Canis lupus familiaris: one gene and its partner. The protein of the gene in region 1 binds, or shares a complex with, the protein of each later gene. Links are inferred from orthologs where the notes say so. Each region holds a gene or a part of one and is shown on either strand. Other genes may lie near its edges.

Region 1 (4,102 bases):
TGTGTCTCTCAGAATAAATAAATAAAATCTTAAAAAAAAACAAAACAATCAAGGGACTCAGGGAAGGCAGGGAGCGAGAGGGCTGGCAGGAAGAGGTCAAAGGAGAGGGAGCAGCTGTAGGAATGTCAGAAGAAGGGCGTATCCACCAGAGGGTGCAATGTGTGCAAAGGCCCTGGGGCTGCACTTTGCCTGCTGCGTTGGCTGCAGGAGGCCCCGGGGGAGGGGGGAGGGGAGGTCAGAGGCTGTCGTGGGGCAAGCCTGGGGCACACCTGGGAGGCCTCGTTGATTGCCTTGAAAAGCCGGGGTTTTCCTTTGCTGTTGCTGCATTTCAGCTGAGAGATGGGGGAGGGGGAGAGGAGGGAGAGGGCCACAGATGGGGGCTCACGTCGGCGCCTGCAGTTCTGAAGGTGGAGGGTTTGCAGTCGGACAGGATGGACAGGATGTGGAGAAGGGGCAGGACGGAGGAGCGGAGCTGCCGGCCCAGGGCGGACAGACTAGGGAGAAACGGGTGTAGACGGCAGATAAGAAAAAACGGGCTGGCGGAGGGGGTGCCTGGGGGGCTCCGTTGCTTAGGCTTTTTTTTTTAATTCTCGAGAGACAGAGACAGAGAGACAGAGAGAGAAAGAGAGAGAGAGAGAGGCAGAGACACAGGCAGAGGGAGAAGCAGGCTCCACGCAGGGAGCCCGACGTGGGACTCCAGGTCTCCAGGGTCACGCCCTGGGCTGCAGGCGGTGCTAAACCGCTGAGCCACCCGGGCTGCCTTTCTTTTTTTTTTTTTTTTTTTTAAGACTATTTACTCCTGAGAACCGCTGGGGGAGAGGCAGGCTCCTGCGGGACCCGATGCGGGACTCGAGCCCACGATGCGGGGATCACACCCCGAGCGGACGCTCAGCCACGGAGCCACCCGGGCGACCCGAGGCTGCTGCGCAGTAAGGCGGCGGCGACGCCCAGCAGCGGGATGCGTACCTGGTGGGGGGCCTGACAACATGCCCTGCGCCCCGGGGAGGCGAGCTGACCGCTGACCCCACCCTGGCCTCAGTTTCCCCGCCCACACCTCGCCTCCGCCCTTCCGGATTCCAAACTCCCCACCCACACGGGCATCGGGCGGAAACCACAACTCCCGACAGGCCCCGCGGCCGAAACCCCGCGACAACTGCCGAGGCGAGAGTGGGCGGTCCCGTTCGCTCGGCTCTGGCTCCGCCCACCGCCGCTCGCAGAAGGCCCGGGCTGCCCTCGGCGCTGCCGCCCGCGAAGGTCTCTGGAGTCCGGCGTTCGCTGTGGGCAGCCCCGCGCGGGGCTTGGCAGGGCTCGGCGCAGGCGCAGTCAGCGCGGGCCCCTGCCGCGGGCTCAGGCGCGCGGGTTGCGAGCGGCGGCCGCCATGGACGACGAGGAGGAGACGTACCGGCTGTGGAAGATCCGCAAGACCATCATGCAGGTGAGCCCGCGCGGTCAGGGCGGCGGCGGGCGCAGCTCGGAGCTTCCGGGCGCGCTCGGCGGGTGCGTCCCGGCCTCTGCGGCCCCTTCCTGTGCGGTCCCCACGCGCTCGGAGGCGCCGGGCCGCGGCCCTGTCCGTCCTTCTCCGCGGTGACGTCATCCGGCCGCGCCCCTCCCGCCCCGCCCTCTGAGCCCGGGGGTCACCCGGCTGGTGCTCCCTGCAGCTGTGCCACGACCGCGGCTACCTGGTGACGCAGGATGAGCTGGACCAGACGCTGGAAGAGTTCAAGGCCCAGTTTGGGGACAAGCCGAGCGAGGGGCGGCCCCGGCGCACGGACCTCACGGTGCTGGTGGCCCACAACGACGACCCCACCGACCAGATGTTTGTCTTCTTTCCAGGTGAGGGTCGCGTGGGTCCTGGGTGGCTGCGTGACCCCTAGGAGTCCGCAGCCCTCGTGCAGCCATCCAGGGACGGTGTCTACACCCGCCCTCCCGAGTGCCCAGCCTGCTGCGCACGGTGCCACGGGGTGCTGATGGGAGCCCTGGGTTCTGTTCCCCGCTGACTGTTCGTTCAGTGCAGCCGGATTGTCGCAGGCCTCCCGGGGGGCCCAGCCCCCTGCCCAGAAGCAAGGGCGTCGGAAACCTTTGCAGGAGGGACCCTCCTGGTGCTCGTGCAAACAGCGTCCCCGTGTGTGGGTCGGCCTGTGGCAGGGCCCTCCCTGGAGTGGGCCCGGGGCGCCCGTGTGCTCCAGTGGGCCACAGAATGGGACTGAGCGGCCGTGCTGGTCCACCTGGACCGCCGCGACTGGGCGCCGCAGACCGGGCGGCTTCAGCAGCAGCCTGACCTCTTCCGGGGCTGCAGGCAGGACGTCTGAGACCAGGGTGTGCACGGGGCTGGGTCCCCCTGAGGCCTCTCCCTGGCGTGCCGGTGGCCGTCTTCTCCATGAGTTCCCGAGGTCGTGCCTCTGTGTGTCTGTGCTGTTGTGTCTGACTGAGGTCCATCCTGACAACCTGGTGGAATCTCCTCTTTAAAGACCTCAGTTCCAAGTACGGTTGCACCCGAGGTCTCGGGGGTTAGGATTGTAACACGGGGATTCCGTGGGAAACAGCTCAGTCCCTGACGCTGCCCGTCAGGTGAGCAAGGGTCCGAGGGGAGTGCTGTGATGGGGCAGATGTGGTGCACCACACGCACCCGTCCTGGCAGCAGGCACCCAGTTGCTCACCTTCCACCAGGCTCAGAGGGTCCCGCAGGTCTTGGCCCCTGTACTGTGGTGAGCGTGAGGGTTCCCACCGTGGCTGTGCAGGGAGGGGGTTTGGTCCTTCAGGTCAGCTGCTTCATCTGGGGATTCCAGACATTGCACCACGTAGGTCCCCAGATTCAGCTTCCAGGGAGGGATCCACCAAGTGGGTAGATGCAGGGCACCCATCAGCTCCGTGGGGGCTGGGGGGGAGGACTGGCACCCTGGTGGGTTCCCTGGGGCCCTAGAAAGAGGGAGCTGGTCCAGAGAGGCACTGCTACACCTTGGCAAGGTCAAGCTGGAGCCCGCGCGCCTAGCAGGGTGGAAGTGAACGAGCAGGTGAGTGAGCAGGGCCCTTGGGGCAGGAGGGACTCTTGCAGTGTAGACCTCGTGTGTTCTGTCCCCAGAGGAGCCTAAAGTGGGAATCAAGACCATCAAGGTGTATTGCCAGCGGATGCAGGAGGAGAACATCACCCGGGCCCTCATTGTGGTACAGCAGGGCATGACTCCCTCCGCCAAGCAGGTGGGCACGCTGCTCGTGTTGGCCGCACGTCCTCATGGGCCCCAGGATCTGGGGATCTGAGAAGGAGCGGCTCTCCCGTGTGGGCAGAAGCCAGAGCAGGGAGGTGCCCTGCATGGGTGCCAGCATTCCTGTGGTTAACAGGTCCGAGGAGGGGCTGCTGTTTGGGACGGAGGGCCAGCTCTGTGCGCTCGTCCCTGCAGGGTTCTCTACGTCACACCAGCACAGGGACAACTGCAGGAGCATTTTGTTAGGTGTCACAGTTTGTGTCGGGTGGTCTCTTCCTCCCAGAGGAGCCTTACTGACCTGACACGTGGGAACCCCCTTTGGCTCCCACCTGCCCTCAGCCCCTGGGAGAGGTGGGGTGGCGGCGTCTTGGGCCTTGGCTGTGCGTGAGGGTCAGCCTCTCTTTCAGTCCCTGGTTGACATGGCCCCCAAGTACATCCTGGAGCAGTTTCTGCAGCAGGAGCTACTCATCAACATCACGGAGCACGAGGTGAGGGCCTTAGTGGGGGTCTGCGGGAGGGGAGGCTGGACGGCTGGTGAGGTGGCACCTGCCCGAGCACAGGGAGGGCCTGGGGACGCACCAGGTGCCGCTGCTCCCACTTTGTGGGGAGGAGGAAGCAGAGCCGGAGTCTCAGTGAGGCCCTGGGCACTTGCCAGGTGTGCAGTCAGGCAGCTGGGGGGCAGGGGGTGGGGTCTGTCCAGGGGCCCCTGCACTCTCCAGGTTATACCCCCCCAGGCGCCTGCAGGCCATAGCTCCTTCCCCCCAGGCGTGGAGTCAGGAGCAGGGTGGGGTGGCAGCTGGGACCCTTGGGTGGATGGTTGACTCCAAGGAAACAGCCTGTGGCGCTCTGCTCCCCTTTCCCGTGTGGGGGCGCCGTGGGGCCTGTCACACCCACAGACTCAG
Region 2 (3,516 bases), on another chromosome or scaffold:
GGCCCTAGTCTAAGAAATCTAAGAAATCTTAACTTTTTTTGTTTTGAAAATACTAATGGTGGGGTCCCTGGGTGGCTCAGTGGTTGAGTGTCTACCTTTGGCTCAGGTCATGATCCTGGGGTCCTAGGATCGAGTTTCTGTATCGGGCTCCCCGCATGGAGCCTGCTTCTCCCTCTGCCTATATTTCTGCCTCTTTCTGTGTGTCTCTCGTGAATAAATAAATAAAATCTTAAAAATAAATAAATTTACATAACAGAATTTACCATCATAACCATGTTTAAGAGGTTTTCTACTTCTAATGAGGTCTGTTTGGGTAGCCTGTATTTTACCCATTTTATTTTGATTTCTTGGAGTTGTACAGAGTATACTTATAATTTTAAATTTTAGTTTCAGTAGTTTTTTTGCTGTTGTCATTTCTTACTCAGTACATTTGTCTGCCCCCCCCCCACTCCTTTTTTTCTTGACTAAGTTAAACAAGGGGGATTTGTTGGTTTGTTTTTTTTTTTAAAGTACCAAGAATTTTGATTTGTTGCTTTGAGCCTTTTTCGGTACTGTACCTCATTAAGTTCAGGTTTTATCTTTGTTAACTTGTGGGGGTTTTACGTATGTGTGTTCTGTTTGTTTGGGTTTTTTTTAGCTTTTATGTTAAGAATTTAATCCATCTGTTTTTGTTGATGACTTGTTTAGCTGTGAATCCCCAGAAGTTCTGATATATAGGTCTTGTTATTTTTTTTTCACATTTTTGTAATGTGTGTTTATATTTTACCCTGGAGTTGGTTAGTAGAAGTTTTGTTGTTTTGTTTTTTAATTTCCAGGTAGAAGAGCCTTTTCATTGAGTACAGTTTAAAATAAAACCAGTAATATACTACATTCTAGACATCAGAGGACAAAGTTTTACTTATGCATCCACGTGCACCTTCTTGGTTTACCTTTCCTCTAGGCTCCCCTTTACCAGTTTGCCACATAGTGAGGTACCACCCACCCCCCAGAAAGTAGGGCTTTGGCCAATTCTGGATATGAGGTGAGTAGCATTCTGTGTGGTGATGAGACTGGAAGGGCACAAAGTTATTACTGGCATAACTGATTTAAATTTTTTCTTTAAGATTTTATTTATTTATTTTTTTTAACATTTTTATTTATTTATGATAGTCACAGGGAGAGAGAGAGGCAGAGACATAGGCAGAGGGAGAAGCAGGCTCCATGCACCGGAGAGCCCGACGTGGGATTTGATCCCGGGTCTCCAGGATCGCGCCCTGGGCCAAAGGCAGGCGCCAAACCGCTGCGCCACCCAGGGATCCCAAGATTTTATTTTTTTATTCACGAGAGAGGCAGAGACAGGGAAAGCAGGCTCCATGCAAGGAGCCTGATATGGGACTCGATTCCAGGACCTCCGGGATCACGGTCTGAGCTGAACGCAAATGATCAACCACTGAGCCACCCAGGTGTCCCACTAATTTAATTTCTTGATGCTGCTTTTTATATTTGGCCTCCTTTCCCATTCTACCCACCTCCTAGGTGACAGGAGGATAAATTTGAAACACATCACTTCTTCTTAATTGAACTCTGTTGAAAACAGGTATTAAAAGAAAAAAGAATTCCTCCCTGGATGGAAGTGGCCCTTATCCCTATGACAGGAAAACCAAGTTTATACCCAGGATTGTTCCTGTTTACCACTCCTTGTAGATTGGTACGGCCTGTGCAGAACTTGGAATTAGGCAAAGAAGAACTAATTGGAACTATGGAACAGGTATGTAGAACATTGTGATTGGTGCCTGTATATGCTCCTGTTACAGTACACAACTTTCGGAGACTTAATAACCACTCTTTTTTAAAAGTGTTATCGGGGTACCTGGGTGGCTCAGTCAGTTAAGTGTCCAACTCTTGATTTCTGCTCAGGTCATGATCTCAGGGTCATGGGATCGAACCCTAAGTCGGGCTCTGCACTCAGCAGGAAGTCTGCTTCACATTCTCTCTTTCCCTCTGTCCCTCTGCCTGCTTGCATGAGCACCTGTTTCTCTCTCTCAAAACAACAACAACAACAAAAAAAAAAACCAGAAAACTTCTTTTTATAAAGAAAGTGTTGTTGTTCTTTAATAACAATTGGGCATTTGAAAAAAATCAGAATTTACTTTCTGCCTCCTACCAGAACAAAGCAGTTTTCACATGTTCCTTCACTGTGCTTACATATCGAGAAAGAGAGTTGGTGGTCACATTACCTGCCTTCTCATCCCGCCCAGCTCCTTTGCACCTGACTCTGAGTCAGGTGGTGAGGTGGGAACATTCCATTAGACTTAATATTTGCCTACATCTTTGCAGTTGCAAAACTGTGGGCTTTGTGCTACCTCAAAATGTCTGTCTTCCTGTCCTTCACAGTTGGACCAGGGTAGATTTAGAATGAAATGCATCAGGCAAACAGTATTTCTGACCTGGAAGCTTCTCCGTGCTTCCCAGTGGATCCCATCAGTGTTCATGATATGGAGTGGGAACGTTTGCATTCACATCTTTGAGTCCTAAACTCAGAGGGAGGATGAGTTCATATGTTAGCAGTGAGTTATTCTGTGCCTTGAACTTCCTCACCCTTCCTCTCTTCCAGATCTTCATGAACATTGCCATCTTTGAGGATGAGGTTTTGGCTGGAGTTACCACTCACCAGGAGCTCTTCCCTCACAGCCTGCTGAGTGTGATTGCCAACTTCATCCCCTTCTCCGATCACAACCAGAGTCCCCGAAATATGTATCAGTGCCAGATGGGTAAGATGGAGTGGAGGGTGGTGGGATTCACACAGAAGAAAAGTGCTTATAACTTTTTTATTTTGAAATAATTTCAAATTCAGAGAAATGTTGTGGGCATGGTACAAAGAACTTCTGTAAGCCCTTTATGTAGATTCTGTTAACATGTGCACTGTTTTCCATTTGGAGGTAAATTGCAGACACGATGCCCCTTTATCCCTAAATATTTCATTGTGTATTTCCTAACAGCAAGGATGTCTCCTTACATATAACAAGGGCAAATATTAACATCAGGAAATTGATGTTAATGACATTGATATTGATGTCATTATACTGTTCTATAGTCCTTACTCTGATTTTGATTGATCATCCCCAAAATATGGTTTATGGCAAATTTTTTTCTGTGTAGCACCTAGTCCAGGATCACGCAGTGTATTAGGTGACACATCTCTTTAGTCATTTAATTCTTTTTTTTTTTTTTTTAAGATTTTATTTATTTATTTGACAGAGAACAAGCAGGAGGAGCAGCAGGGAGAGGGAGGAGCAGGTTCCCCCCTGAGCAGGGAGCCTGATGGGGGCTCTATCCCAAAGCTCCAGGATCATGACCTGAGCTGAAGGCAGTCATCTAGACACTCTCTCCTTAGTCTTTTATTTTTATTTTATTATATTTTTTTAAAGATTTATTTATTTATTTATGATAGAGAGAGGCAGAGACACACACAGGCAGAGGGAGGAGCAGGCTCCATGGTGGGAGCCCGACGCAAGACTCGATTCCGGGACTCCAGGA

Evidence for each region.
Region 2: POLR2E (region 1) and POLR1B share a complex: the UniProt entries of both Homo sapiens proteins name them as parts of the pol I pre-initiation complex. The link is inferred for Canis lupus familiaris from reciprocal best matches to the Homo sapiens genes POLR2E and POLR1B.

The regions. Positions count from the first base shown.
Region 1 is NC_049241.1:58,128,529-58,132,630, forward strand, and holds the start of POLR2E (DNA-directed RNA polymerases I, II, and III subunit RPABC1), read left to right. Parts: upstream 1-1,301; 5' UTR 1,302-1,378; coding exon 1,379-1,435; intron 1,436-1,658; coding exon 1,659-1,833; intron 1,834-3,079; coding exon 3,080-3,195; intron 3,196-3,607; coding exon 3,608-3,688; intron 3,689-4,102. UniProt on the Homo sapiens protein: DNA-dependent RNA polymerase catalyzes the transcription of DNA into RNA using the four ribonucleoside triphosphates as substrates.
Region 2 is NC_049238.1:36,969,591-36,973,106, forward strand, and holds part of POLR1B (DNA-directed RNA polymerase I subunit RPA2), read left to right. Parts: intron 1-1,576; coding exon 1,577-1,747; intron 1,748-2,593; coding exon 2,594-2,750; intron 2,751-3,516. UniProt on the Homo sapiens protein: Catalytic core component of RNA polymerase I (Pol I), a DNA-dependent RNA polymerase which synthesizes ribosomal RNA precursors using the four ribonucleoside triphosphates as substrates.